Oryzias latipes: one gene and its partners. The protein of the gene in region 1 purifies or fractionates together with the protein of each later gene. This does not show direct contact. Links are inferred from orthologs where the notes say so. Each region holds a gene or a part of one and is shown on either strand. Other genes may lie near its edges. The genes, in order: dicer1, protein argonaute-1 and prkra.

What was found.
Region 2: the proteins of dicer1 (region 1) and protein argonaute-1 purify together in Homo sapiens (co-immunoprecipitation; 7 studies listed by BioGRID and IntAct, with this or other methods). This does not show direct contact. The link is inferred for Oryzias latipes from reciprocal best matches to the Homo sapiens genes DICER1 and AGO1.
Region 3: the proteins of dicer1 (region 1) and prkra purify together in Homo sapiens (co-immunoprecipitation; 4 studies listed by BioGRID and IntAct, with this or other methods). This does not show direct contact. The link is inferred for Oryzias latipes from reciprocal best matches to the Homo sapiens genes DICER1 and PRKRA.

Annotation. Positions count from the first base shown.
Region 1 is NC_019880.2:4,293,076-4,296,720, reverse strand, and holds part of dicer1 (endoribonuclease Dicer), read left to right. Parts: intron 1-744; coding exon 745-850; intron 851-934; coding exon 935-1,110; intron 1,111-1,194; coding exon 1,195-1,918; intron 1,919-2,064; coding exon 2,065-2,214; intron 2,215-2,793; coding exon 2,794-3,417; intron 3,418-3,543; coding exon 3,544-3,645. UniProt on the Homo sapiens protein: Double-stranded RNA (dsRNA) endoribonuclease playing a central role in short dsRNA-mediated post-transcriptional gene silencing.
Region 2 is NC_019874.2:24,542,690-24,547,103, forward strand, and holds the start of protein argonaute-1, read left to right. Parts: upstream 1-1,579; 5' UTR 1,580-2,134; coding exon 2,135-2,159; intron 2,160-4,414.
Region 3 is NC_019879.2:22,833,332-22,837,499, reverse strand, and holds the start of prkra (interferon-inducible double-stranded RNA-dependent protein kinase activator A), read left to right. Parts: upstream 1-1,225; 5' UTR 1,226-1,421; coding exon 1,422-1,477; intron 1,478-2,510; coding exon 2,511-2,686; intron 2,687-3,189; coding exon 3,190-3,271; intron 3,272-3,447; coding exon 3,448-3,523; intron 3,524-3,740; coding exon 3,741-3,858; intron 3,859-3,936; coding exon 3,937-4,031; intron 4,032-4,118; coding exon 4,119-4,168. Other genes in the region: protein FAM237A, read left to right, coding at 65-171. UniProt on the Homo sapiens protein: Activates EIF2AK2/PKR in the absence of double-stranded RNA (dsRNA), leading to phosphorylation of EIF2S1/EFI2-alpha and inhibition of translation and induction of apoptosis.

The DNA of each region.
Region 1 (3,645 bases):
GCAGCCGATGATCCTCTGGATGATCCTCTATTTCACATTTGTTACTACCCAAAATCTGATGGATAAATGAAGTTGAAACCAACTGCAGATACATTACAGTGGATGAGGATAAATGTATCCGTCATACATGCCCTCGTATAGACCAGTTCGTGAAAATATTGTCTGGCAGTAAACTAGTCTGTGGCCTGGAAAAGGTTGGGGACCACGGAAGTACAACACCAAAGTGAAGCTAATGAGCCCTCAGATCACGTATTGTCACCATATTTTACCCCTAAAATCAGAGAGATCGGTACATATCTCATACATGAGAGAGCCATGAAAATACTCCACTTTGATACAACATCCTAACCTTCTGAGGACGACATCTTGGTTCAGAATAAAAGCGTTTTGCACACTTTTCTGGGGAATTGGCTCTATGTTTTGCGCTCTTGTGAGGTGCAACAACTGTTCAGGATTTTAAAATATTCACATTACTAAGATAGCTTGTTGCTCTCGCCAAAATGGGGGTGTCATCATTTGAAAACACCGCAAATACTACATCTGCAAGTTTAAAACTCTTCAGAATAAAATGTTGTTAAAGCTGAAGGCAATAGTGTGTTGTGTCATGTGACTAGTTAGGAGTGTGGAGAGAAAGTGTAAAAGCTGGTTGTTTTATAATGTTTTTTTTCAAACGTAAATGACAGTTTATAGTAAATGGTTTTGTCATAAAAAGCTTTACTTTAAAGCAGCGTCTCATCCTCTCAGACTGAACTTGTTGACTCCCCGGCACCTGAACCAGAAGGGCAAAGCTTTGCCTCTGAGCAGCGCAGAGAAGAGGAAAGCCAAGTGGGAGAGTCTGCAGAACAAGCAGGTAACGTTCCTGCTGGATTTTTACATTTTTTTGGGGGGTAAAAATAGATTCTGAGGAGCCTGCTGGTTACTCTTTGTTCCTCAGATCCTTGTTCCGGAGCTGTGTGCCATCCACCCCATCCCCGCCTCCCTGTGGAGGAAAGCGGTGTGTCTGCCCAGCATCCTGTACCGCCTCCACTGTCTGCTGACTGCTGAGGAGCTGAGAGCCCAGACTGCCTGTGAGGCAGGAGTGGGGATACAGACCCTCCCCCCTGACTTCAGGTAGCTGCTGCATGCGTTCCATGTTTGACTTTACAGGTCGCAGTGAGATTTCTGCACTCAGGCCTTTTGCGGTTTTTGTGTCAGATATCCAAACTTGGACTTCGGGTGGAAAAGATCCATTGACAACAAAGCTTACAGTTCTTGCTCCGAGTCCTGCAGCGAGGACGGCGTCTGTGTGCATCAGGAGGCTGGAAGCTCAGAACCTGCCCTCTCAGCGCATCCCAGCCGCTCCCTTTCCCCCCAGCCGGAGCCACATTTGGCCCCTGCTCCCAAAAATGGCTCCTGTGTTCTTAATCTAACTAATGGCACCGCTGAGAGTGGCCCCCAAGACGAGCACCTTCACCAACCTGACAGCTGCCAATGCCAGCTAAGCTCCAGCAGCTCTGGGCTGCAGAGCGCTGAATCCGAACAAGTGTCTACCTCAGCTCCTGCGCGGGCTCCTTCCAGCTCCATTTCTCCACAGCCCAGCAGTGAATGTATGCCTGCAAGGACCTCGCACCATACACCTGAAACTACCTCAGGCTGCGAGCTTTCGGCCACAGCTCCCAGAAGCCCTACAGCACCTTCATCGGACTCAACCAACGAGCACCAGCAGGGCTCCACCGTGGGAGACTCCCCCAAGAACCTGGGGCCCAACCCAGGTCTCATACTGCAGGCCCTGACTCTGTCCAATGCCAGTGACGGCTTCAACCTGGAGCGGCTGGAGATGCTGGGAGATTCGTTTCTGAAGCATGCCATCACCACATACCTGTTCTGCACCTATCCTGACGCCCATGAAGGACGGCTCAGCTACATGAGGAGCAAGAAGGTGAGCGGCACAATTCCTGCTCAGAGCTTTCCCAATGAGCTTTCTGTGTTTTCCTACAATCACAAAGTCCAAGCTATGTCAGGATGTTTTACTTTTGCCAACAAAAACCTCACTGAAGCTGCCCTGATTCCCAACCTGACCTCCAGGTGAGCAACTGTAACCTGTACCGTCTGGGCAAGAAGAAAGGGCTGCCAAGCAGGATGGTGGTGTCCATTTTTGACCCCCCTGTTAACTGGCTGCCCCCTGGATATGTGGTCAACCAGGACAAGAGCAGCACTGACAAAGTGGACTCAGAGGTTGGTGCTGTTGATTTTCTACTTCCTGCAGGTTTGGGAAGCGTTTCGTATTTCTCCTTCTTCGTGCAGTTGTGATGCTGTAGGTCCAGTAGAGGGCAGGCTTCCCCCTTTTTTGATGTCTTTGCTCCTAAAGCAAATAGGCTGTGATCATAATCTCTGGAAAATTCTGTTCTAGAAGAGAAGCTTCCTGTTTATTTCAAAATAAAAATAAAAACTTGGGAGGATAAATCTATAATTATAGAGGAAACGGTTAATCTGAAATAATAAAATTTTAAAAATGAGTTTTTTTTTGTCTGTATCAGAAAAAGATCAGGTTGAACCTTTGAGAATCAGTTTTATTAATGTTGTTTATTTACCTCCCAAAATACAAATAAACAAGTTAGTGATTCATCACACCATCAGTTCAGTGTTTAATTTGTCAGAAAAAGCAAGAAAAATGTTTGGCTATTGCACCATCAAGAAAAAGAACTTTATAACCAGCAAATTCATACGGAATAAACAGGAAACAGTGACCACGTTTAACTACACTAATGGAGGTCCATTAGATTCACTGTCGTCTTTTTCCTTCCTATATTTAAGTCCAAAGAGGAGCTTCTGACCAATGGGAGGACTGGGAATGACTTTGATGACGATGACGATGAGGATGACACCGCCGAGGAGCTGGACGAGTTGATGCTGAAAGAAGAGCCAAAAGATGAAGTGAACATGGAGGATGACCTGGAGTACTACAAGGAGCACATCCGCTTTATTGATAACATGCTGCTGGGATCGGGCGCCTTCGGTAAGAAGATCTCTCTGAGCAGCTTCCCCCATTCGCTCAGCCCGGCCTCGGGCTCCTGCTTGGAATCCTCGTATGACTGGAAGGTTCCCAAAAAGCCCTCCCATCCAGCCCAGTTCCCTAGCGATCCTGCGCCCACCGGGATGTCGGCAGAGGAGTTTGACTACAGCTCCTGGGACGCCATGTGCTACCTGGACCCCAGCAAGGCTGGGGAGGAGGACGATTTTGTGGTGGGTTTCTGGAACCCGTCTGAAGAAAACTGTGGCACCGAGCTTGGCAAGCAGTCCATCTCCTATGACCTGCATACGGAGCAGTGCATCGCTGATAAAAGCATCGCAGACTGTGTAGAAGCTCTGCTGGGATGCTACCTGACCAGCTGTGGAGAGAGGGCCGCTCAGATGTTCCTCTGCTCCCTTGGCCTCAAGGTCAGTCAGCATCCCAACACTGCGTGAAATCGTTTGTCCTACATTTTCTCTAAAATCTCTGTCAGTTGAAGATCTAGCGTGTTTGGACTTCCCGTAAAACGTGTTTTGTGTTTCTGTCGACTGCAGGTGTTGCCGTCTGAGCCTGGGACAAGCAGGGCATCCAAAGCCCCAAGCAGCAGGACGTCGGCTGCAGACCTGAGCTACGGCTGGCTGAAGATCCCACCCCGC
Region 2 (4,414 bases), on another chromosome or scaffold:
AAAACACGTCCCAGTTTGTTAAAAAATATTAGTCCACTGTTGCAAGCCTTCTATTTTTGTCACATTTCTGTTCACTATTACATTTCACAAGCAGCAGCTAAGCTAGTACTACTAGTAGTGGGTTTCAACGTCAACTGCCAACAGGGCTCGCGACACATCATGCAATGAATTAACTGCTAAATGGTTATTTAAGTAAATAAAAAACAACTCAAAATCCTCCAACAGGAACTCACTCTCAACGGAAGCCGCGTTTTTCATTCAGACCATAGAAGAACAAGTTGTTTTCTCATATTTCACAGCTTCCAACTCATAGCTTTTACGATGACGACCACTTCCGCACAGGAACTACGTGCCGTAAATGCGTCATGACGACTTCCTGTTGCACGTGCATCCTCGGATTTTCAAATCACGCACATTGAGCATTTAATTGCGCGCCGTTGTTTGTTCTAAACACACAAGAAAATTACACGGGTTTCGAATTATATGTATTTTAAAGAATCAAATAAAAACTATGTATATCGATGTATCTTCGCCTATTTAAAACAGCGAGTTCTCCTACTCTTTGTCCAATCGCTTTGCGATGTCAGAGGTTGCAAAATAACCGCCAAAACGAGAGCAATGGTCAAGAAACACAAGTGAATAACTAGAAATGCGCATTCACAGAAGTGCAACTATTCTGAGATAGAACAGAAATGCATTACGAATGTTATGATTAAGCTGTCTACTTTCAGACTAAAAGCAAAAATAAAAGTTGGTTTTGCTAAGGTTTTTTTTCTTTCTACTTTGAATAGGTAATAAATAAATATCTGGGTTTATGTCTGGAGAGATAAATGAAACTCAAGGTATTTTGAAGAAGCAAAAAAAGTACATGCTTATACGAGAAGTCTGTACAAAAATAAATGAACAAAAACACACACAGAGATTTCACATATATCTACGAAGCCTCATAGAGGCTGGATAATAATTATTGATGTCAATATTTTTGAAGGGTAATTTTAATGTTTTTTATTATCTATCTGCTGTTTTTAATATAGCGAGAGTAACAAGGTAATTTACCCCTTGTGGGGAAAAAGGTTCAATTCAATTAATTTCTATTCTATTTTTTCCCCATCAGACAACCCAGTCTCATCCTAATACACAACACATGTCATTTTTCGGCTGACATTTGGAAACATCTCAGCAAAATCAAGCCTCTCCTGCATGTCGCAGACTCCCAACCTTTGACACTTTTGATAAATCTGCTTAGGGGTTTGCTAAGTTTCACGGTTTTCATTGTAAATTCTATTCTTGTACAGTTCATGTTTTGGGACTTTTTGCCATTGATAAAACACGTTGTTATGTGTTGCTTATTTATTTGGATTGATGTTGAAATGTGTCAGGGAATCACTCAATTGAATGCCATTAGACTTAAGTGAAAAAGAGTGCTTCAATGTGCTAAATGTTTAATTTTGTCAACTTTTCAGACTTAGAAACACATTTGACCCTCACATAAAGCTAAAAAATATAGTTAATAGTTTCCCTCACATTTTGTGTATGGATTGATTTTATGAATGATAAAAAAGCTTTTTCTGTGAATCCTCAATTTTGTCTCTTCAAAATATGGGGTGCAGTTCCGCCTTTCACCACTAGAGGTTGACATTAAGTTTGTCAACAGTTTGTTTGGACTTTTTTTGGTGACAAAGAAGAAGTTTAAGATTTTTGGGGGGGTTGAGGTACTGGCCCTTTTTGTTCCGCTGGAGAACCCTGCTTGAACGTTGAGTTGGAGAACACACTAAGTAAGAAATCCCAGCTGCGTGGACCATCGGCAAATCCACCGTCCACGGCGGAATCACGCCGGAGTAATAGCGATCAGAATCAAGGCGTTCCAGCGCTGCCGTAGCAGATTCAGGGTCAACGGGCAAAGCAGCAACTGCCTGCTACTGTCGCGTTAGCCTCAACCCCTCTCTGCGGGTCTGGGGGGGGGGGGGGTCGGCTGGGGAGGTAGGGGGCGGGAGTACACCGAGAAAGGGGACGACTCAACACCGACAGGAGGGGGCTGGAAGTCTGAAACACTTCCAACCTGAAGGGGCCGGCGGTTTGGCCACAGCACCCAGGATTAGCTAGCTTGCACCGTTGCGGCTAAGTGAATGGGATCATGGAGCCGGGACCGTCTGGCGCTGGTAAGTCTTTTTCTTATTATTGCAATCAGTCCAAATGTTTGAGTCATGACTGTATACACAGATTGCATTTGGGGAAGTGAGGCATCCTAGAAAGAGGATGCAGTAAGTTGATGTTAGCGCCTCTGTCTCTGCATCGCTACGTTTTGGGAAGATTAAACTGAGATGGAGTGGACATGGAGAGGAGTCTCATGCAATCTACATGCACCACACCATCATTACAGAAAACAAACAAATACAATATTTAAGAGGAGACTCCGGGTGGTGACAATGTGTCGTCTGCCATGTGCGGGGGCAGATAGGTCGTGGGAATCTCTGAGAGGATGATGGGAACGACGTGAATCTGCGGCTGAATCCCGCCTTCAAGCAGCCGCAGCAGCAGCAGCAGCAGCAGCAGCAGCAGCAGCAGCAGCAGCAGCAGCAGCAGCAGCAGCAGCAGCTGGCTGAGTCCCGCAGGTCCCACGCAGCACAGCATCCCCCCTTTATCATGCATGTCTTAAACACCATTTGCCTAGCATGCAACCTCAACCCTACCACCTGCAAAGATCGATCAATTATTTACATGAAAACTAAAATCAACAGTAATTAGATTGTGTGTGTTAGCAGGAGGAGGTAGTTTTGTTCTGGTGGACTTGGAAAAGCTCGTGTATTTACAGTAAACTGGATGTCAATGGGCTTTCTCCCTCTCGTCCTGCATAATTCTCGTTCAAATTTATCTTTAATTGGCAGTTTTCTTAGTGAACACTGAGCCGTAGAAGCAAGAATTGAACAAAAAAGGTTGTGTTTTACTTAACTTATCTCGTAGTTGGGAAAAGTATTGGATGCTTTACTTTTCTCCACTTTTGTAAAACTTTTTTTGTTTGTTAACTTTATCTTTCACTTGGAGTAGCTCTTATTTTCTTAATTCAAGAGGACCGGCGATCTAAAATCACATTGTCCTGCTGGTCTAAATTTTGAATGGAATAGACTAGTTTTTATTTTATTTGTGATTGGAGGGGGGAGGGCCCCTGGGGGCCCTTTATTTCAAAGTCTGCTTTTGTGTTTGAAGTGTGACAGTTGTGTGGCATTTTCCTGAAACCGATTAGACATGTTTACCACACGGTTGATTGCCAAATCAGATCTTTTGAGCTAAAGTGTTGATAGGTGGACAGGACTTTCCATCCTAACAGCATCAGTTGCTATTTTTTATTTTGAGATTTTTAATCATAAAGATTTAAAAGTAACATTTATATATAATATGATGATCTGGAGGTGATAGGGTCATCTTTTAGAAATTAAGTTTAAAACTAAAGATTTTCTTTAATTCAAAGTATTGAAAAAAAGTATTTAAAAACATTTACGCTATGTTACTTTTAAATCTAGAAGGTATTTCTTCATGTCTGGGTCTTTTTTTTTTGCTAGGTGGTTTAAAAAGCAGCAGGGAGTGTCTTTATATTGTAATATTTAAGTTGCACTACCCCAAAAGAAACTGCTATTGTGCTTGTGATATGTGAAAGCCCTGGCTCTGCTCTTCACCATCTGCCTTCACTGGCACAAGGGGGAAGTCTGCGTCATTGTGTGTGTGTGTGAGTGTGCGACAGTCCCGGCACACGCACGTTTGCGCGTGCACATGCTTTCTTGCACCTAGAAGAGTCAGCATGGTCACCACATGTCCGGTGTCTGTGTTTACTGTTTTTGTCAGATGTGTGAGTCCACACCAGAGGAGGATCCACACTTTGAGCGGAGAGCAGCTTTCTGTGTTTTGCAGGAGTTTTCTTGAGTTAAAGCTTGGTGGCCACATAAACGTATTGATCCGATTATTCCAAACTCCGGTTTAAGACGCTTTGGCGCCTCTGCCTGATGTGGGAACGTGATGCGTTGGAGCAAAGAGGCCAAGGTCTTCAGCATGACCGCAGCAGCACCCCTGCCTCCTCCCATCTCCTCCTACAGTTCTACTCATGCAGACACACACAAGTCCCCTGATATCCATGACAATTCTGTGTTGCCGTGGTGTCTCCATGGTGAGGCTGGGAATGTAGAGGGGGGCCCCCCGTGTTTGTGTGTATGAGTGCGTTCATCGTAGCAGGGGCGCTCCCTCTGCCATACACCCGTGTATTTCTGTGTGTAAGATGGAGGAGCAGGGCAGCTGGGGTCTTTGTTGTGATGGTGGACGGCTGCTCTCTGGGGACCCAGAGGTTACGGCAGTGGGGCCCTCTTAGACAGGAGTCACTACTAGCACCCATTTAAGCAGCCCCCCAAAAACCTTTCGATAGAAGACC
Region 3 (4,168 bases), on another chromosome or scaffold:
TGAAAGCATTTTTAGCTACTGGATAAAGGCTGAACCTCTGCGTGTGTGTGTGTTTCTCTCACAGAGTCCTTCCGATTCAACAGTTCGGGTGTGAACTCCCGCGCTTGGATCAGTGTGAGAGTCAGACGCAGAGGACACATCACAACCCTGAAGACAAACCGTGATAAATGACTGCTGGGAAATCCACATAGACAGCCTTTTATTTAAATAAAAACGCTCCATGCAAGACTAAATGTTTTTTTTTTTTTACTTCTTTATGCAATATCTACAAAATGTTTCAGATAAATGCCATGAGTTGAGGTTAAATCCTAATTTTCCACTTTTTATTCAGTAACAATTAATTTTTTGAATGTTTATTGTTAGTCCATCTAATGCACTAAACATCCTTTTCAAAAGGTGCATGTTTCCTGTCCTAACTGTATGTTCTTGACTGTGCAAATAAAAATATGCTGTGAAACCACTGTATGGGGTGCATTTGTTACTAGAGAAAATAAGAGGAAGAAGATGTTTAAGCAGAAGAAATGCAAATTTTCTAGTGTAGTTAAAACTATATTAGGCATCCTAATCTAGTTAAAACTAGACAGGTAAAGCTGGTTAAAACCCAAGACTCTGTTCTCAGACTCTATGTAACATTTGGAATCCTATTACCAAACAACAAAAAAAAGACTTTCTTGTAATTAAATCTTCTGCCTTGCTAAATCTATTATAGTCTGCATAAAAAAAAGAGTGCTGAAAAGAAAATTCATTTTCTATACATTTTTGGTTAAGCGTTAGAACATGTCAACACACTTATGTGTGAAAAAATGTACAACACATCAAAAGAATTCGAAATAAATGGGATTTGAAGTATATGGGAAAATAAATAACATTTTGTAATCTGGTTGACCATTAAACCCCTCATAACGAGATTTGTTTTTTTTCTTCTTTTAATTCTTTAACAGTTTGAATAAGTTATTCAAGATACAATTCTGCCGATTATTACCTTAAAAAAGCCTTGTATTGCTAAATTTGTGCTTATTTTATTTATTTATTTATGTACAATATCTGTTCTGTGTTTATTCTATCGGGATGAAATTACGTTTTTTTTCCTTCTATGTTCTGTCCAGAGGTTCTGTTATGTTCAATCAATAGTTTTTTATTTTTAATTTTTAAAAGGTTTCACCACTAGAGGGCACTAACATGTTTTTGTTGTTTAGGATTATTGACCCATCGTTGACCCGGATGTTGATGTCGGACTTTTCTTTTTGTCTTCCGGCGACGCTCTAACTGTAGGGAGTGAAAGGGAAAGGGAATGAAAACATTATTCCCTTATGTTTTAGCCAACTGCGATCAAATGTCCTGGTTCTACATCAAACCATCGTGTTGGAGTTTTAGTTAAGGGTAAAACAATAAGTATCCGGGTGTCAGTCTGACCTTTCAAAATGTCTCAGGAAGGATATCAGACACCAGCCATGATGACTGCTACCGCTGAACCGAGGTTGGTGCTTTGTTATTACCAGTTTATAGATGTTTTTTGTTGTTGTTACAACCCAATGAAAACTGCATTTATATTGTTTACAACACTGCAGTTATGTACGATGGGTTTTTGCTAAAAAAAAAACGGTTCTGGAAAGATTCTTTTCGTTGATTCTTTGGGGTTTTGTGTGCTCTAAATTAAAGTTGGAATAATAAGAGTAAGGGTAAGAGTTCAAATCTCTTTACATGACTTTAGGGGTTTTTAAATAGCCAAATGAGTCATTTAGGCTTGATTTATAGCGTCTGTTTGCCGAAAGGAGAATTGCAAAAAACAAACAAAACAAACAACAACAAAAAACCCACGAGTTTTGTTATATGGTCACATAGGCGGGAGTCATTAAGCCTAGCAATTGGCAGGTTTAAAAAGAATTACGGTAACTCTAACTAGGAATCAATTTTCTTGGGGTGTGCTTTCAAAAGACTCAGCATGTTTATTTATTTATTTTTAAATATATAAAATTGCGGTATTTTCTATTGAAGTGAGATTCATGAAGATCCAGCACATCACGGTCCTGAATGTGCTGGATGATCATGAAGTGAGACGGCGCCGGGCTCTCAACCACAAATAAGCTCTTTTTCCAATTGCATTTTTTCATCTGCTCCTGATTCACAACGACTTGTATAAAGAAATACTCAGAAATACAAATGTAAGCTTAATTTTCTTTATATTTGTCCTCCATCATCAGAAAAATCCCATAAGAACATGTTAAAAATACCAAAAACACAAATGTTTTGAAGTGGGTCTTTAACAGTTGCTGCATTCAGTCCAACTTTGGAGACATCATCATTGATGCAAATGTGCATCAAATCACTTCGATGCTAAAACAGAAGTGATTTGTTTTATAGCTGGAAATAAATGTAGTCCTCAAGGGGTTAAGTTGGTCATTTATTCTGTTGAAATGTTTTTCTGCTGTCATACTGAACGCCTAAATTTTTATCTTGGGGATTCAGTTTCTATTCTTCTTTAATATTTTGGTGTACTTGTTTTTCACCAGCCTAAACCCAGTTGAACCTCTGTGGAATAACCCTGGGAAGACTCCAATTCAAATCCTGCATGAGTATGGGATCAAAAGTGGGAACCATCCCATGTTCATGATGGAGAAGGCTGAAGGCCAGGCTCACCAGCCCAGCTTTGTCTTCAGCGTGACAGTCGGTGACGTCACATGCGTAGGTATGCTAAAGTGTCATGGTCTGGGTCGGCTCTGCTTTAAATCTGTGCAGGAAATAACGAGATCAAGATTATATCTCATACAGCAACATGAGTTCTGTAGTGTTGGAAATCTTAATCACAGTCACAGATTATCAGCCTTCCAACAGCCCAATGACCAAAAACACACGGTCAAAAAATTACTTCACTGTTCTGAAGTGACCCACTTTGAGTCCTGATCTGAATCCTTTGAATGTGTGTGAAAAGAGCTGAAACACGTCGTCTGGGGACGGCGAGAGCTGTTTGTTCACAAGCTCTGCAAACAACAATTCTGGTCACATCTGCTTTTTAGTCAAATAGTTTTCAGAGAAAAAATATACCGTACTTTAAAAACGCTTGTTTTTATTTCAAATAAGCAATATAGGGGTACATATAAAATGCACTTGTTCATAAAATGCTGCTTATTAGGATGTTGCGTGCAGAGATAAATCTGGAGAATAAAGTGGATTGATATGTTTTTATTTCAGGCCAGGGTCCCAGTAAAAAAGCTGCGAAGCACCAAGCTGCAGAGGCTGCTCTGAATATTCTGTACACAGACGCTGGAGCTGGGTAAGTAGACCTGAACTGGTGAGCCGGCGCATATTTGGGTTCTTGCTTGTCCAAAATAATCTCCTTTAAGTTTTCCTTGTTTGCTTTAGCCAAATATACAAGTAGTTTTAGACATTCTTTATACAGAAATGTGACTCATTTTAAGTGATGATTGATGAATCTTTGATGCTCGACAGACATGTTGCTGCGACGGGTCTAAGCAACGCCGCCGAAACAAACAACCATCTTCCTAATTCTGTAGGACTACTCCAGGTACTCAGTCTCTTTTTGCTTTTGTCCTTTTTTATTGTAGAACATTTGATCAGGTTTTTTGAGCCTTAAAATAATTGCAATTATGAACATTCATAATGATAAACCTACAGAAGAGTTTTTACTAATCCCATTTAGAAATATCAATGAATTTCTTAAAAACTCAATCATTTTTTTTGTATGCGTTGAAATCCTCTCTCCTCCTCTTTGTTTCATGCAGGAGTTGGCGTTGCAGAGAGGTTGGCGTCTCCCTGAGTACACAGTTTTACGGGAGACCGGCCCCCCACACATCAGAGAGTTTACAGTCACCTGCAGACTGGAGTCTTTATCAGAAAAAGGTATGAGCATTTACAAAAGAAAAAATCCTTGCGTGTTTCAGTTTTTTCTTTCTCCTAAAGTTGTGTTTTGTGTTGCAGCTGCAGGGAATTCCAAAAAGGCAGCAAAGAAGGCTGCCGCAGAGAAAATGATGGCAAAGCTTCAGAGTTTGTCAGGATGTTCAGAAGTCACATGGGTCAGTGGAGACTCCGTCCTCTGCAGAAACATCTCTGCACCGCTTTTCAGGAAACGTTTCTTTCTCCACTGTCTTTTGATTTCCTAGAATCCAAAGCCGAGCGTCCGATTTGACACCATAAGAAGCTCCACGGCAGA